Linked DNA regions of Arabidopsis thaliana. The protein of the gene in region 1 interacts with the protein of each later gene in a pairwise test. Each region holds a gene or a part of one and is shown in the gene's direction. Other genes may lie near its edges. The genes, in order: GATA6, AT5G58340, RSZ22 and PRS.

Evidence for each region.
Region 2: the proteins of GATA6 (region 1) and AT5G58340 interact in a two-hybrid assay, tested with the Arabidopsis thaliana proteins (one large-scale study listed by BioGRID).
Region 3: the proteins of GATA6 (region 1) and RSZ22 interact in a two-hybrid assay, tested with the Arabidopsis thaliana proteins (one large-scale study listed by BioGRID).
Region 4: the proteins of GATA6 (region 1) and PRS interact in a two-hybrid assay, tested with the Arabidopsis thaliana proteins (one large-scale study listed by BioGRID).

The regions. Positions count from the first base shown.
Region 1 is NC_003074.8:18,971,526-18,975,451, forward strand, and holds GATA6 (GATA transcription factor 6), read left to right. Parts: upstream 1-1,600; 5' UTR 1,601-1,815; intron 1,816-2,107; 5' UTR 2,108-2,113; coding exon 2,114-2,371; intron 2,372-2,462; coding exon 2,463-3,143; 3' UTR 3,144-3,367; downstream 3,368-3,926. Other genes in the region: AT3G51070 (S-adenosyl-L-methionine-dependent methyltransferases superfamily protein), read left to right, coding at 1-199, 282-476, 559-766. UniProt on the Arabidopsis thaliana protein: Transcriptional activator that specifically binds 5'-GATA-3' or 5'-GAT-3' motifs within gene promoters. May be involved in the regulation of some light-responsive genes.
Region 2 is NC_003076.8:23,580,762-23,585,698, forward strand, and holds AT5G58340 (myb-like HTH transcriptional regulator family protein), read left to right. Parts: upstream 1-1,733; 5' UTR 1,734-1,845; coding exon 1,846-2,895; intron 2,896-2,981; coding exon 2,982-3,172; intron 3,173-3,287; coding exon 3,288-3,351; intron 3,352-3,442; coding exon 3,443-3,484; 3' UTR 3,485-3,486; exon of another isoform or gene 3,487-3,709; intron 3,710-4,003; 3' UTR 4,004-4,066; exon of another isoform or gene 4,067-4,233; 3' UTR 4,234-4,387; downstream 4,388-4,937. Other genes in the region: AT5G58330 (lactate/malate dehydrogenase family protein), read right to left, coding at 21-122, 204-278, 355-445, 536-873, 964-1,050, 1,169-1,262, 1,354-1,526; WNK4 (with no lysine (K) kinase 4), read left to right, coding at 4,744-4,803, 4,878-4,937.
Region 3 is NC_003075.7:15,304,526-15,309,560, forward strand, and holds RSZ22 (serine/arginine-rich 22), read left to right. Parts: upstream 1-2,018; 5' UTR 2,019-2,242; exon of another isoform or gene 2,243-2,246; intron 2,247-2,445; 5' UTR 2,446-2,457; coding exon 2,458-2,546; intron 2,547-2,649; coding exon 2,650-2,738; intron 2,739-2,912; coding exon 2,913-3,165; intron 3,166-3,244; coding exon 3,245-3,379; intron 3,380-3,502; coding exon 3,503-3,539; 3' UTR 3,540-4,510; downstream 4,511-5,035. Other genes in the region: AT4G31570 (nucleoporin), read left to right, coding at 1-186, 260-915, 1,009-1,144, 1,242-1,344, 1,409-1,511. UniProt on the Arabidopsis thaliana protein: Sequence-specific RNA-binding protein probably involved in pre-mRNA splicing. In vitro, can complement efficiently splicing-deficient mammalian SRSF7-depleted HeLa cell extract.
Region 4 is NC_003071.7:12,260,262-12,264,118, forward strand, and holds PRS (Homeodomain-like superfamily protein), read left to right. Parts: upstream 1-1,751; 5' UTR 1,752-1,853; coding exon 1,854-2,297; intron 2,298-2,734; coding exon 2,735-3,025; 3' UTR 3,026-3,334; downstream 3,335-3,857. UniProt on the Arabidopsis thaliana protein: Probable transcription factor required to initiate organ founder cells in a lateral domain of shoot meristems.

The DNA.
Region 1 (3,926 bases):
ATTGGCCCCGTCGGCTTCAAACACCGCCTTACTGGTTAAACAGCTCTCAAATGGGGATATATGGGAAACCAGCTCCTCGAGATTTCACTACAGATTATGAACACTGGAAACATGTTGTAAGCAAAGTATACATGAATGAAATAGGAATCAGCTGGTCAAATGTGAGGAATGTAATGGACATGCGAGCTGTCTACGGAGGGTGAGCATCAACGAAAACAAATCAAACTAAAATCTCACTTACCAAAACTAAACCTTTTTTTACTAACTACGTAAAAATGCAGGTTTGCAGCAGCTCTGAAGGACCTACAGGTGTGGGTAATGAATGTAGTAAACATAAATTCACCAGATACACTACCGATAATCTACGAGAGAGGCCTATTCGGAATATATCATGACTGGTGTGAATCATTTAGCACATACCCTCGAAGCTATGATCTCTTACATGCAGATCATCTTTTCTCAAAGTTGAGAACAAGGTATAAGCGTAACTCATAATATCCACACCTTTTGGTAACGTTTCATCAACAATAAGTCTCTTGTTTTGTTTTGTTTTGAAAGGTGCAATCTTGTTCCAGTAATGGCAGAAGTGGATAGAATAGTAAGACCAGGAGGTAAACTAATAGTTCGTGACGAATCAAATGTGATAAGAGAAGTTGAGAACATGTTGAAGTCACTGCACTGGGATGTTCACTTAACTTTCTCCAAACACCAAGAAGGAATCTTAAGTGCACAAAAAGGATTCTGGAGACCAGAAACTTCTCAATGAAAGACGCTCTGAGAATCTGCATTTGAAAGTAGCAGAAGCATCATTATAATACAACACACTACTCATATCTATAATCCCCAAAAGAATTTGTCAGTATAAGAAATAGCTTTAGTCTTCTTAAACTATATAGACTAATTAGAACATTTTTGTTTTCCTTACTTCATATTGCTTTTTTTAACATGGTTATGATATTCTCTTGTAAGGCTATGAATCATTTCACTGGGAAAAGTAAGGCACACCAATAAATGAAATTTTGTTCCAACAAGTAGAAACATAGCAGTAATGAAGAAGAGATTATGATGCTTTAGCGATACCACAAGCCAAATTCACCATAAGCTATTGACAGGTAGCGAAAAGTCAAATTACAAAAGGAATAAAGTAGACATGAAATGAAACCAACAATCTTAAGCCCACATATGAATTCAAAAGAGAGGTTAAGAAAGAAGAGAATCTGACATCATGGGCAGAGTAGGAGCTGAAGAAGATGGGTTTCTGCAAATTTGAAGCTTTTAATCGCATATCGCTGAGTAATCATCACAAACAGTTTTGAATTGAAGAAGACGGGAGGAGAAAAGCCATTGTTAATGAGATACCCAAATCGTAAAATTTCAGAAAGCCCAGCCCAACATAGCCCAATACAGCCCAAATATGTATGTGATTGGGTAACGAAAACGAGACCGTTCTTTTTTCAGTCATCTCTCGTTTCACAGTAGCGCGTATGTACGCTTTGAATTTACAAAAAGTAGACATTTTTATGAATTTTTGCCGGTTGAGTAAAAAGGTAAAAAAAAATAGTTCCCACCAAAGCAAAATATTTCAATTTTTATCTTTTTTTTTTGGTTCTTGGGAAAATAAGAGATTGAGAAAGAATAAAGAAGAGAAACTCACAACTTTTTTAGTTTTAGGAGAAGAGGGCTTTGGTCTGGAGTCACTATCATATTCAATGCTTTACCAAACTCACCTCTTCTTCTAAATTCTCACCACTCTTCTTCTTCTTCTCATTCACCGACATATCTCCTCTCTTCACTCTCTGTCTCTTCTCATCTCAGGTAATTCCAATTTTAGTTTTTTTTGAAGGTTACTTACTCGTCACATTGTTTGAAAAAGATTGAATTTTTATCTGTGGCTTAGTCAAATCATGGTTCGTTTCACCAAGTTGTGGTTCTGGGTTTTCGTGATTTTTCTTTTGGGTTTTTCTGTTTGAATTTGGAAAAATAAAGGAACGTTTTTTTTTTCGGGGGGAGTTTTTTTTTTAAAGATAATTTTTGGAGAGTTTTTGATAATTCTGAGGAAGCCAAAAGAAAAGAAGAAAACCTAATTTGTGTTGGTGGGGTTTGATAGGAAATAATGGAGAGTGTTGAATTGACGTTGAAGAACAGTAACATGAAAGACAAAACCCTAACCGGCGGCGCTCAAAATGGCGATGATTTCTCCGTCGACGACTTGCTTGACTTCTCAAAAGAAGAAGAAGACGACGACGTTTTGGTTGAGGATGAGGCTGAATTGAAAGTACAACGAAAAAGAGGAGTCTCTGACGAAAATACCCTTCACCGGAGCAACGATTTCTCCACCGCTGATTTCCACACTAGCGGGCTTTCCGTTCCGGTATGAATTTGTGTTTTCATTTTCGCAAAATTTATAAAAATTATCAGTCATTGCATTGTTAATTTCTTGCTTTTCATGTTTTGATTGTTAGATGGATGATATAGCGGAACTTGAATGGTTATCAAATTTCGTAGATGATTCTTCTTTCACGCCGTATTCTGCTCCGACGAATAAACCGGTTTGGTTAACCGGAAATCGGAGACATCTTGTACAACCGGTTAAAGAGGAGACCTGCTTCAAATCCCAACATCCGGCCGTCAAAACCAGACCCAAACGAGCCAGAACCGGAGTCAGAGTCTGGTCTCATGGTTCGCAGTCGTTAACCGACTCATCTTCAAGCTCTACAACATCTTCGTCGTCCTCTCCTCGTCCTTCAAGCCCTCTATGGCTCGCCAGCGGTCAGTTTCTTGATGAGCCAATGACTAAAACACAAAAGAAGAAGAAAGTTTGGAAAAACGCTGGTCAGACGCAAACGCAAACGCAGACGCAGACGCGGCAGTGTGGTCATTGTGGAGTTCAGAAAACGCCGCAGTGGAGAGCAGGACCATTAGGAGCGAAGACGTTGTGTAATGCGTGTGGTGTGCGTTACAAATCGGGTCGGTTACTACCCGAATATAGACCCGCTTGTAGCCCAACATTTTCGAGTGAGCTTCACTCAAACCACCACAGTAAAGTCATTGAGATGCGTAGGAAGAAAGAGACTTCTGACGGTGCTGAAGAAACCGGTTTGAACCAGCCGGTTCAGACGGTTCAGGTTGTCTCGAGTTTTTGAAGAAATTGTGGAAGGTTTTTAAAGGAGCAGAATTAGGATCCGACCCGGTTCAGATTTATCACCAGTTAGTATGTTAACGGGTTATGTATGTTTTAAATTACAAATTTGATTTTTTGTTTGTTAGTCGTAGTAGGTTTTTAGATTTAGTAACTGGTTAAAACTTTTAAAACTCTTACTATTATATTTGTTTTGTTTCGCATTAATTTTCAGAATTCTTTTTTTCTTAACCTCCTCTAACGTTATATTTACGTTATAATATATAGTTTTTATATTAATTGATAGAGATGGTTCATTTTCTAGTTAGAATGTATGCTCAATAATTATTGGTAGACTGATAGTTATCAAGTGTATAAAATATGAGATCAATTTATACCAAATTAGGAGTAGGCTTTATTTCAGGGTTAGTAACTCCAATTTTTTGTTGTTACTTATTTATATCCATCACATTTTCTCTTGTATTTCTAAAATTGACATAATATAACTGAAAAAAAAAACAAATTTCACAAATAAAAATATATACAATAACTGAAAAAAGAAAAATAAACGTACTGGGCACACTCTCTTATTGACTAATTTATTACTCTGCGTATTTTTGGAGATTGAATACGACCTTAGTTGACGTGATAATATTATCCATTTTTGCAATGTGATAATATTCGTTGACCATATCTTTGAGATTATCACGAATTACCAATTTACCTTGGGACTTTATTCCTCGTATGGTTTTAGTTGAGTTGACTATTAATAATAGCTTTTAGTACGTGTTTCGTAAATGCTGCATAA
Region 2 (4,937 bases), on another chromosome or scaffold:
CAGAGGAATCGCCATCTTACCTTCTGCACACTCTCAGTGAATCCCTCTTCTAACCATTTGTGATCTGTAATAACCTCCTTCACAGGCAGGCCATTAATTCTGGCATTTAAGAAGTCTGGCACCTAATTTTCCTCTAAAAGATTAGAGAAACATCCCAAGATAAATGTAGAGAATAGATGACACTAGAGTAAGATAAGGCAAACCTGAGTCGTGGAGTGATTTCCCCATATGGTCATATTAGACACTTTGTCATAGAAAACACCGGCTTTAAGAGCAAGCTACAAAATGGAAATTGTCAATCATATGTATGCAAATATATTGCATACAATCACATATAGGTGTGAAATCTAGTACCTGGCATTTGGCACGATTTTCGTCTAACCTCGTGAGGGCATGGAAGTTCTTTGCAGGAATGTTGGGAGCATTTTTAAGACAAATCAAGGCACTGAAAGAACACAAAATGAGGTAAAGTATACTTCCAATGTTTGTCACTGATTACGATATGAAGAGGGTTGAATTAAGGAATGTAGCTTACTTGGTGTTGCAAGGGTTTCCCACTACAAGAACCTTGACGTTAGGAGAGGCAGCTTTGTTCAGAGCTTTGCCCTGCTCAGCAAAGATTTGGCCATTGATGTCCAACAAGTCAGCACGTTCCATTCCAGGGCCTCGAGGTTTTGCTCCAATCAGAATAGCCCACTCCACATCTTGGAACACTTCATTTGGATCTGTTCCTATATCAACTTCTCTCAACAATGGGAACAATGAATCCTCCAGTTCCATTGCAACACCTTCAAGAGCTTGAATTGATCTCTCTGATCCTAGCAGTTTCAATGCAATGGGTTGATCTGGACCAAATACTTCCCCTGAAGCAAGCTACACACCCGGAAAACCAAAGATACATAAAATAAGACCAATTATTGGTAACCTTATCCTATAAAACAGTAACTTAAAGGATTAACTTACTTTGAAGAGAAGATGGTTAGAAATCATTCCTGCAGCACCTGAAACTGCAATATTAATTAACTTCTTCCATGATCTTGTCTCTTCTTCCTGGCAAACACACACATAATACTATTATATCCATGTAAAGCAGAGGATTATCTCAATTCTCAAGTCTCAAAGATAAGATTCTTTTATAGAAAAATAGTAAGAGGGAATAGTAAGATACAGCTTTAAGATCATAGGTGAGGCAGAACACTCCATAACACTCTTTCTTCGTCTTCACCAATCCATTTTCTTGCACAGCAACAGGAGCTTGGCTACTTTTATCATCAATTCACAAAAGCATCTAAGATCAGATAAAGTTGATTTATTTAAGAGAGAAGAAACGATTAGGAGCTTAAAGAGACTTACTTTTGAGAAACGGAGCAAGAGATTTTGGAGTTGGGAGTTGTTGTGTGGAGAGGTGGAAGAAGAAGATGGCGAAAGTGGTTTGAAAGGTGCAATTTTGAAGAGAGACGAAGCCGAGACGAAGAGTTGAGAAAAGGCGACGTCGTTTTGGGGGTTGAGAGCTCTGCCATGGCCATTATCGCACAGACACAAACTGTGAAAGTGAGATTTCAGAACTGGAACTATGGAGAGAGAGCGCGCCAAGCGACAGAGTAGTAAGAAAGAGGATTGGGGAATCTATGGATAAGGCTCAGCTCTTGACACTTGTCACTCTTTTAGCATCCTCACCGTTTATCTTCTTTTGACTTTTAGGCCCAGTTAAGGCCCAATAACAGAATATACCTGAAACCGTTCGAATTTGATCACTGATCGGAGATTTTCGTCTTCGCCGGCGACATTGCATCCGCTGACCAGAGAATTAAAAAAGTTGCGACTTTGATCGCGAAAGTTTCAATAATGGAGGTCATTGATCAATGGGTTGCTGAATTTTTCCTCCTTCGACAACACAATCCTAGGGCTTCCCCTATTAATCTGATTTCGGCGCTAAAATTAGGAGATTCCTCCGACTGCATAAAGCTCAAGATATCTTCCGTCTTGCGTGACATCTCCAATTCATTGATCCGAGGTACGATTGATGAGGGAATGCTCGATCTTCTCGAGATTCTTGAGAAGCTTCTCTTGCAGCAACATTCGCTACTCATGGATTCTCACAAGTCTGCTTATTGCTGGACGGCTACTGAGTGTACGCTTAGATTTATGTGGCCAATGTTTGCTTCGGATGGTTTGTTCACCGATGCGCTTGAGAGGATATGGACGAAGAGGATTGGGATTTTGAAGGAGAGTGGTAGCGATTTGGTGACTTGTGACTTGTTGAAATGGGAGAGTGATTTGAAGAAGGCCCTTGGAGATCCTGAGCTCTATCAGCGAATTCGTGAGACTAACATCAGGTACACTGCCATTTCCTTTCTCACTCAGCTTCTCAAAGAACAGTGGGCATTACTTGGGAGTTCCTCTCTTGAATCAGTAGCTCAAAGAAGGTTTCTTAAGCGCAAGGCTGTGAACGTAGAGGGTGATGTTGTTGACAACAGAGGGGATCAAAGTGATGTTGATGAAAGCACGAGACGTTTTGGGAGTGATACTATTGATATCGCCAACGAGGCGCGTGGTGAAAGGGAGGACGGGAATGGGATTGGTAGAGACAACGCTAATGATGGTGAAGGAATGGAATGTCTGGAGAATGATGGGATTGATAATGTGAATGCAGCAGACGAGGAGCACACAGTGAGTGCACAAGATCAGGAACATGAGCCAAGTCTTGATAAGGGAGACGAAATGGCTGCTCGAGAGCTGAAGGAATATTTAGTAGAGATTCAAGGACACATCGACCCTTCCACTAGGCAAGGGGAAGAACCTAACAGTGCAATTGATCACTCAGTAGATGTCACTCCTCCGCCTACTCGGGTGAATAGGACTGGAACAGGCTGTCAAGACCATAACGAAGCATCGGTGAGTGTTAGTCAATTTTCCCTCAAGATGCTTTCTAAAAATCTTGTTCTTTGGTTCATGAATTTGTGGTTTAATTGTGAAAACAGGATAATGTAAATGAGAAAGGTTCGGATAGTCAGGAAACATGGTCTAGCAGAGTTCGGCCTCGTCGACCAACCCCTGTAACTCTGAGTGTATCTCCATTAAAGAAAGGCGGATTGGCGAAACCACATGTCAGGAGACCAAAGAAATTCTGGAAGCCAGAAGAAGTGGAAGCTCTGAGGGAAGGAGTAAAAGAGTATGCAAACACTCTTTGCCTAGTCCCGTACTCTATTATCAATATTCAATAGTGATACATCTTGGACCTCATTAAGATTATACCACTGGCTCATTTTGTTGTTGTTGTTGTGCAGGTATGGTAAATCATGGAAAGATATAAAGAATGGAAACCCTACAGTATTTGCGGAGAGGACAGAGGTGAACATTTCCTTATTAACATTCATACTCACCATTTACTTGAACAAGATATATGCCAAGTGTGAGTGATGTAAATGTTGTAACTTGGTAGGTGGATTTGAAAGATAAATGGAGGAACTTAGTCGGTGGGTAGAGGTAACATCTTTTGTGAATCTTGTGCTATATGTTTTAAAATGCTGTAGAGTTATTTACCTTTGTGTATTGTGATATATCAACTGTGGAGAACATGGTGGAGAAAGGGCCATTCCCATGTTGTGTGGTGAATGATAATGATGAATGAGCAGAATATAATTATATGCTTGTGGGAAAAATTCTGGCTGCAACCTCTGTAGTCAGTCAGTGTCAAACTTATACGGCTTTTCTTGTTTTAGATATATTCCATCCTTATCTTCATTTCCTAATTCCTACCATGCTTCCCTCTCTCCTTTTCCACGTGTCAACTAACATCTAAACCAGAACAAAACAGTAGTCAAAAAATGCATAACCATTTTGATCTATGATATTGCCTGTCAAACATTCGGACCCTCCTTAGATATTGCCTGTTAACATTCAGACCCTCCTTAGATAAAAAGCGAAGTAATATGATGGGAGCTCTCATGCACATACTTTATTGGTGAATGCATATTTGTTACGTGTTATTAGTTTATTACAGAACCGTGAACTCCTTGAGGGCTGCAGGAACTGGCCGCCAACAAAAACAAAACAATTTTCAACGGTGATGTCACTATCACTCTATTCTCTACAACTTCTTGTCATGTTCCCCACTTCTGTTCTGACTTTTCCCCTTTTCTTTGTCGTTTTATTTTTGTTAACCTCAATCTATTTATTTTGGATTGCTTGTGTTCACCAAACTAATAATTGGTTCAATTGAAAATTGTGCAGTTTCCTCAAGAAACAAAACTCTTTCCTGAATATCGCATTTCCCAGTATCCACACTTTCTTAACTCTTATCCTCTTTGCAATTGTGTTTGTGGTTCACAAAATAAACAAGGGCATCTTTTGAGCATATTTAGCCATGTGTTTTCAATGTGGTACACGTTTGATGATTTTTTTTTCATTTTTGTGGTTTGAGTATCTTGTATTGGCAAGTAAGATTTGTCAAACTTTCGATTTTTAGATTTACAATTGGGTCAATAAAAATAAATATATGATTTTCTATAATATATGTGATGCAAGCAAGGTTAAGGCAAATTGTCTTTATTCTTTTTATCCCAAATGGGTGATTGACGCCAACGACTGTTCAACATATTTTCTGCTGACGCTTCTTTAATGAAGTAGCACGAAGAAGTAAACAGGACGACTTTTGGCCACCGGAAAATTTCTCTGTTATAAAAACGAAAGTCTGTGTCCTCTTAAACATTTTTGGGATCATCAATCGGTTTTTGGTCAACCATGAATATGAATCAAGTTGCAGAGTATGTGGAAACTGATCCAACTGGTCGCTATGGACGTGTAAGTAAGGAGACAGATTCTATGTTCATGGATCAAAACCTTGTTGTAACACTTGGTTTTTTATGTTGGAACAGTTTGCAGAAATTCTTGGAAGGGGAGCGATGAAGACAGTGTACAAAGCAATCGACGAGAAG
Region 3 (5,035 bases), on another chromosome or scaffold:
TTGCGGAAGATCTTCAATCTGCAAGTGCCCGGATGCGTGATATGCAAGACCAGCTGGGTATTTTGGTTCGGGAACGGGATTCTATGAAGGAGAGAGTAAAAGAGCTGCTAGCAGGGCAGGCGTCACACTCAGAATTACAGGAGAAGGTCACATCTCTTAGTGATCTACTAGCTGCGAAAGACCTAGGTCAGTTTTTCTCTTTTACCCTTTTGTTTTTGCACCGCCACATATATAGCTGATACCTAATTGCTTCCTGCAGAAATTGAGGCCTTAATGCAAGCGCTTGACGAGGAAGAGTCTCAGATGGAGGATCTGAAACTCAGAGTTACAGAATTAGAACAGGAAGTGCAACAGAAGAACCTAGACTTGCAGAAAGCTGAAGCTTCTCGTGGGAAGATTTCCAAAAAGCTATCAATTACTGTGGATAAATTCGATGAGCTCCATCACCTCTCTGAAAATCTTCTTGCTGAAATCGAGAAACTTCAACAGCAAGTGCAAGATCGGGATACAGAGGTTTCTTTCTTAAGACAAGAAGTCACTAGGTGCACCAATGAGGCTCTTGCTGCTTCTCAGATGGGCACTAAGAGAGATTCAGAAGAGATCCAAACTGTACTGTCTTGGTTCGACACGATAGCTTCACTACTTGGTATAGAAGATTCGCTGTCCACTGATGCTGACAGTCATATAAACCACTACATGGAGACATTTGAGAAAAGGATAGCGTCTATGCTATCTGAAATAGACGAATTACGGTTGGTTGGACAAAGCAAGGACGTTTTGCTTGAAGGCGAGAGGAGTAGAGTGGCTGAGCTCAGACAGAAAGAAGCAACTCTTGAGAAATTCTTACTTGAGAAAGAATCCCAACAAGACATTTCAACAAGCTCGACGTCAGAGATCGTTGAAGTGGAACCTCTGGTAAGCTTTGAGCTTGTTAAATAGTTACACCATTCCAGATGCCTCAAGATGATAAATTTTTAATTGTGGATTTTTTTTTGTTGGATATCACAGATAAACAAGTGGACAAAAACATCGATTCCATCACAAGTCCGGAGTTTGCGTAAGGGAAATATGGATCAAGTCGCCATTAGTATAGATGCAGATCAAACTGATCAAAGCGGTAGCTTAGAAGAAGATGATGATAAAGGTAATTAAACTTGTCTCTGAATATTTAGTACTTTTAACAACATTTCTTAGTAACATTCCCATTTGTATTTTTTCTGTTTTTTAGCTCATGGTTTCAGATCACTCTCTACGTCAAGAATCATTCCTAGATTCACAAGACCCATCACTAACATGGTCGATGGTTTATGGTCAGACTCTTTTCATCCATGGATCTCGTTCAGTGTAAAGTTCTTTAATTATGATCTAACAAAAAACGACCCTTTTATTTGGTTTCTGAACTTTTCAGGGTCTCTTGTGATCGGACGCTCATGAGACAACCTGCTTTACGGTTAGGGATCATGCTATACTGGGCGATATTGCATGCTCTTTTGGCTGCTTTCGTGGTCTAACCAAACTTCCAATTTCGTAAGCTCATTACTGACTTTTTTTTTTTTAATCCCAAAACAAGTTGCAAAGAGTAGCTTGATTTGCTAAGCTTTTAAGACGTGTTTTAATCGTATATTTGCAGCTGGTTTCTCGTTATAGCATGCATGGGCTCATCAAAGTGGTGATGTGTTGTCGTCTCCAACACTAATTTTTTTTTTTTTTTTTTTTTTTTTTTTTTGTCTTTGTCTTTGTTTTTAATTCATTGTTTAGCTTATATTAACCAAGCAAACTGTGGTTTCAGCATTTTTATTGATCCGAATCACAAACTGCTTGGGTTTTCAAACGAATAAGAAAGAAAGTTTATTTAGTAGCTGTGGAATGAAAGTGTGATTTAACTAGAGAGACTTGAAGTTCTATTATTTTTCTTTTTCCCTATTCTGCTATTCATTATTTTCAGAAATACAAAGCAAAATACGTGAAATGATCACATTTAAGTATTTAACAAACTATACAGAGAAAAAATAAATATCACCGACACTAACATATTATTGAAAAAAGGCATGAAAAGGCTACTTTTAAGCCCAATAAATAGGCCCAAATTGTATATTTACTAAATTTTGTTAACGCGCTTACAAAACCCTTTGGAAAGTATTTCATCAAATTTCAGATTCAGAAACCCTAATTTCTTCACAAAGCAAAACACAGAAAAAGCCATTCTTTTTGCCCCTTGAGTGCTTTCAGCTCTTCCCACAAGGTAGGTCGCAACCAAGTTTCTTTATCTCCTTCTCACTCTTAATTGTGGTAACGTTGATCCGATCTGTTCAAATTTGATCGGGTCACTTGGTGGATCTAGTGACTCTGTATTTTTTCTCGATGAATTCAAATCCTTTCGAATGTCTTACTAGAAAAGATTTAGAATTCCTTTATGTTGACCTTGGTTTATTGTGCCATTGACAGGTTACAGAAGTAATGTCACGTGTGTACGTCGGAAATTTGGACCCGCGAGTTACTGAGCGTGAACTTGAGGATGAGTTCCGTGCCTTTGGAGTTGTCAGGAGGTAAGAATCAATCCAATCAATCAGTTCGCGCTACAATTTTGTCACTTTTGAAGTTAAAAGTATCCAATTTTGCATCTCTCTAATGTTCATATGTAATGTGCAGTGTTTGGGTTGCCCGTAGACCACCTGGTTACGCTTTTCTAGATTTCGAAGATCCTAGGGATGCCCGTGATGCTATCCGTGCTTTAGATGGTAATGATGCATTCATATTCTTTCTATTTTGCTTTGTTCTCTTAGAAGTTGATGTTTTGATTGGGATTGGAAAATAAGTTTGGTGGAATCTTTTAAAGGAGAGAAATTTGAGGTTTGCAATTACTTTTGACTTGAAACTTCACAATTTGACATGGATATTGTGATAACGGATAGGCAAGAATGGCTGGAGGGTTGAACAGTCTCACAATCGAGGTGAGCGTGGTGGCGGCGGTCGTGGTGGTGACCGTGGAGGTGGTGGCGGCGGCCGTGGTGGTCGTGGTGGCTCTGATTTGAAATGCTATGAATGCGGTGAGACTGGTCATTTCGCACGTGAATGCCGTAACCGTGGTGGAACTGGAAGGCGTCGCAGCAAGAGCCGTAGTCGCACTCCTCCAAGATACAGAAGGAGCCCAAGCTATGGACGGAGGTCAGTGATGCTTTTTATTTTGTTACCTTAGTACCTTATTTTGAACGGATTAAGTAACCTTGCCTTTTTCTGGTTTTAGGAGTTACAGCCCTCGTGCAAGATCTCCCCCTCCTCCAAGGCGCCGCAGTCCTTCTCCTCCTCCTGCCCGTGGCCGCAGCTACAGTAGATCACCACCTCCATACAGAGCGCGTGAGGAAGTGCCATATGCTAATGGGTAAATTTCTTTTTCCCAAGTCTCTATATCATTATCAGTGTTTAGGTTTTGGTTATAGTTCTTAGAGATAAACATTTACATTTTCTTCAGATGCTAATTCAACATCTGTTCTTGTTTCTTCAGAAATGGACTGAAAGAAAGACGCAGAAGCAGGAGCTGAGTGAGTGATTTTGCAAGAAAACGAGTGTGTGGGAGGATACTTTGGAAGAGAAGAAGAGAGGGACTAAGGGAAGTTACTATCATCTATGAATTTCAGTAAGAGAACATGTTTTAGGTCTGCTGGGTTGGATAAAGCTTGCTACTTTTGCTTTTGGATATGAAACGTACGTAGTTGTGTATCTACCAATAGGTAAAAGAACACTTGATTCGTACCCTAGTTTCTTAAAGACATAATGTTTGATTGGAAATTCTGCTAAATGCCTAAGCGTTTCTTGTCTTTTTCCACCGTGTCGAGGTTTCTTCGGGTCTACTACTACTACTACTGCTTCATTGCTTATCTACTTGCTTCTCTACTCTTCTCATATGAAGCATCTTCCTTAGTTTCTTGGCCTACTTCATTGTTTATCTGCTTGCTTCTCTACTCTTCTGCTATGAATCATCTGCATTTAGTTGCTCGGCCTGGTATGGGAAAAGTTAAACCACGGTTGTGGATCCCTAACATCATCTTCATTTAGTTGCTCGGCCTGCTTCATTGTTTATCTACTTGCTTCTCTACTCTTCTGCTATGAATCATCTTCGTTTAGTTACTCGGCCTGCTATGGGAAAAGTTAACTACGGTTGTGGATCCCTACATGGCTTGCTTCTACTTCATCTTCGACCCTAGAGATGCGCTATTGTTTGAAAACTTCATCAGCTTTGAGGTTACCTTCTTTGCATGAACTTGAGCTGCATCACTCAGAAGCACCTCTTGTGTGGTCTGAATGTTGTGCATTAGGTTTAGCATAATTGTAGCTATGTGATAGTGTTTAGTATGCACATTCTTGTCCTTGGATAGATTTTTGTGCATTTCACGGTTTATATAGGCAAGTCAAGAATTTGTAAATGCGTATCAGTTGCTACCATTTGGTACTTGTGTTCATTTCACTTAAGCATAGTTGTGAAATTGTTCACTTTTATGAAGGTGAAGCAAAGTAATTGCCTAAGAGGAAGATTGAATACATAATCTGATTTGCTCTTATTCACGTAACAACTAGCTATGGTTTCGTTTCAGCAACTATAAATCCCAAATTAAGTGAAAAAATAAAAGTATACTTGCGAAGTAGACATGGAGACGTTGTTTTGGCATGACAACAATTAAAAGCCTAGAAAAGCAAGAGAGACAAGATCATGATCCTAGTTCGGTCCCAGAATCATCAACAAACCCACCAAATTAAAATCTGTTTGGTCCCATTCTTCACTTACACATCATTGAATTGATTGTTATGTGACGTAAACCTCTCTGACCTCTGCTTTTTTTCTGCAATTATGCTTCTCCTCATTCCACTTCCTCTGCCGACACTTTTTTTGCTCCACGTTTCTTCACTTTTCACCGACACTAAGTTGAGAATGTCCTAAGATCCTCAGAGAATACAATAAATATTGGTCTTTCTCTTGTTTCAGTTTAGTCAGAAAACTGGTTCTTGTTAGTTATTTACAGTTACAATCTCTTTCCACAAA
Region 4 (3,857 bases), on another chromosome or scaffold:
ATCAACCTAAACTAATACTCCGGCATTAAGATACGTATATGTATTGTGTTTTCGTTAGTATATATAGCCACCTAATAAATAGGACTTTAATTACTTGAACTAAATCATGAAAATTAAATATCTAACTTTTTACGGTTATATCACCGACCTGAAACTCTTTTTTTATTTTCTTTTCAAAAAGCCGACCTGAAACTTTCTTCACCAAACCTAACAAATCGAGCTATAAACTTTATAGGTTTTTAACTGAAATATTATTGGTAATGTAGAATTTAAAAATGTGGAATTTCAATATGATTATTTCTAGAAGAGGACATTAATATCCTTTAGTCCCAAAAGAATTGAATATCCAGAATCAAGAATGTTGACAGAGGGGCAGAGACAGGGCTTTGGAGCCTATAGACAACTAATATATAGGTGCGAATGCTAATGCATGCAATGTTTTTGCATGCAGACGTTAAAGTCAAAATGCTCAGTTTCTGGAGATTCTAAACAGACAATTCTATGCCTGATGTGATATTTGAAACTCATTTTTATGTCTTAATTTACAAAATTTGTTAAATCAATACATGTCAATGTGTAAATTAAAAGTAAATGTACTTCTGATTATAATGGTGTATGTTAGATCATGAAAACATAATTAATACATAGAACGCGTATATTTTCATTTCACATTGGTGTACCTATTTACTAGCTTGTCTGTCCATGTAAAGATTTGAGAAATTTAACCATTTTTTTCTTTTAATATGATGTGTCAACGTCATCCTGTTGAGAGAAGTAAATCATAATAAAGTAATTATGACATAATCATTTAATTGTTTCTCTTCATTCTCTCTCTACATACATGCATATTCACACAGATACATATGTACACATATGTTTATATATTCTAGGTCTTGATATGATTGATCATATTTTAGTGATAATATCTAATTATAATTTTTTGTGGAACTTTTTATAATCTATAAAAATGTAAATTTATCATTTGTTAATGAGTACTGGCGTTTCTCTTTGTTTTGTATGTTTCACCTTTCTGCACAAAAATAAAAATGAGACTGTGGTTTTATGTTTGTACACAGAAGGATGAGTCAATGTCTTAATTAATTGTAAGAGAGAATTGTATATATTTTAAAAACCTATTGAATGATCCACCTCGAGAACCCATACACCTTCATTGTTTCTCTTTGATTTTTGTTCCTTTTCTCTTTCTCTCCCCTTTTAAGAGAAAAGGCACATAATTTTGGAGAATGTCGTAAGCTATTCTACAAAACTTTTTTCTTACATAGAGTGATTATATGTTTTACAAAGTGATTATGTAACGTTTCTTTCTATTTAAAACCAATGATGTTTGAGTTATTTGCATTTTGCAACCAATGATGTTTGAATTATGTGCCGTTCGATTATATCCCCTATATTAATATACACTACTGTAGACGAAAGTGAAAACTCCCGACAAAATAAACTTTGAAAGGTGAAAACTATAGTTATTCCAAAAAATATATTCCTTTATACATATATACTAAATTCACATTTACAGAAGTAGAGTACGTAATGTAATAATTTTGGGAGCATATGAGATTGGGCCAGTTTGAATACAACATAAAAAACAATATAGTACAATGTTCTTTCTTTATGTTTATTTTCTGTCTAACCCTTCCTTCTCTTGCGTCCCTTTCCAATGCACTTTAATATTTATAACTTTACCATTTTCTCTCTAACCATATAAACATCCGTTTTCGCGTATAAATAACCTCATCCACACACACACACATCTCTCTCTATATAACCCTAAGTGTTTGGAGATAGCATCACTAGAGAACACACACACAAAGCATCAATATTTGTCTGAACGGAGAATGAGTCCTGTGGCTTCAACGAGGTGGTGTCCGACGCCGGAGCAACTGATGATCTTGGAAGAGATGTACCGGAGTGGTATACGGACTCCGAATGCGGTGCAGATACAACAGATCACAGCTCACTTGGCGTTCTATGGAAGAATCGAGGGCAAAAACGTCTTTTACTGGTTCCAGAACCATAAGGCTAGAGATAGACAGAAGCTGAGGAAGAAACTAGCCAAGCAACTTCACCAGCAACAACATCAACTTCAACTCCAACTTCAGCAGATCAAACCAAAACCAATATCATCGATGATTTCTCAACCAGTTAATAAGAATATCATCGATCATCACAATCCTTATCATCATCACCATCATAATCATCATCATAATCATCATCGTCCATATGATCATATGTCCTTTGATTGCTGCTCTCATCCTTCTCCCATGTGTCTTCCTCATCAGGTATGTAATTAAGAAGAGTCTACTTTTCTCTCTTTTTGTTAAACATTTTTCTTTCATAAGATTTTTTTAATGCAATGTTTATCATCAAAATAGCTAGGTTACATATGGATATAACCAAAACATTTGTATACCTACAAAAAGAAGAAGAAAAACATAATTGAAGAACTAATCTCAAACCTTAAAATTATTTATGATAATTTTTTTAATTACCGGAAACACTAATTTCAAACCTTTAAAATACCAAATGTTTTTGGCTATTATACCCTGTTTACATGGCTAGATGGGAAAGCTGCAAGTGAGAATACTTTTTTTGGGGTCTAGAATAAAAAAATTTTTTTTTTGGTTTTAAAAAGGAATAACAACTTGTTAATATGTTTACTACAATTTTCTTTTGTTAGTTTTATATTGTATGATGATCATTGTTATGGAAAATATAGGGAACTGGAGTAGGAGAAGCTCCAAGCAAAGTGATGAATGAATATTACTGCACCAAAAGTGGAGCTGAAGAGATATTGATGCAAAAATCAATCACGGGTCCAAACTCATCGTACGGTCGAGATTGGATGATGATGATGGATATGGGCCCACGACCATCATATCCCTCATCATCATCATCACCCATTTCATGTTGTAACATGATGATGAGCAGTCCAAAGATACCATTGAAAACCCTGGAACTTTTCCCAATCTCATCTATCAACTCCAAACAAGACAGTACCAAACTTTAAAGAAAAGACAACAAATACAAAAGAGATTCTGCAGGTGTTTCATTCATGTATCACTGTATGATGTGTCAAAGGCTAAGAAGAAAACACGTGTACTTGAGGGTAAAGTAATAGCCGTTGGATATAATTCGTTGAATAACTACAAATCTCTCTCTCTCTTCTTTCATATGTCTCTATCTCCGCAGTAGAACTAATGGGTACTTTTCTTTAAATTAATTTTGTTAAAAGTTCTTTTCTTTTTATAAGATCTTTGATGGGGTTTGGGAGTTATTATGAGTTGTTAAAATGGGTGTCTTGGTTTCTGTAATTGCATGCATGCATGTGTAGGCTATTGTCTTTAGGACTAGACAGTGAGAAAGATCTCCTTTGTCTAACGTGTAACTTCACTCTTTATTTTGATGTGGTCACCTTTCCTTTTGATATGTACTATGATTCTCTCCTTTCTCTCTTTTATTTTCTCATGATGATAATAATTTAAAAGTGATTACAAAGCTTTTTTACTAATTACAACTTCACATCACATATTTTTATGGTTTGGCAAAAAGATAAAATAAATATAGTATGACTTACGTTTTTGTGTTATATACAAAATGTTAAAAATGTATGGGAAATAAATTATTGTGGTTAAATTAACTTATTTTTTGTGTTATAAACAAACTGTTAAAAACACATGCATTATATATAATAAGATTTTTAAAATATTGTTTACTCGAAAAAAATCGATAAAGTTCAATAGATGGTGAACAAAAAAACTCAGTTCTGGCGCAGCTAGATGTGTAAGTGGTTAGTTATGAGGTTGATTTATCAGGTTTTTTGGTTTGGCAGATTGCTTTAT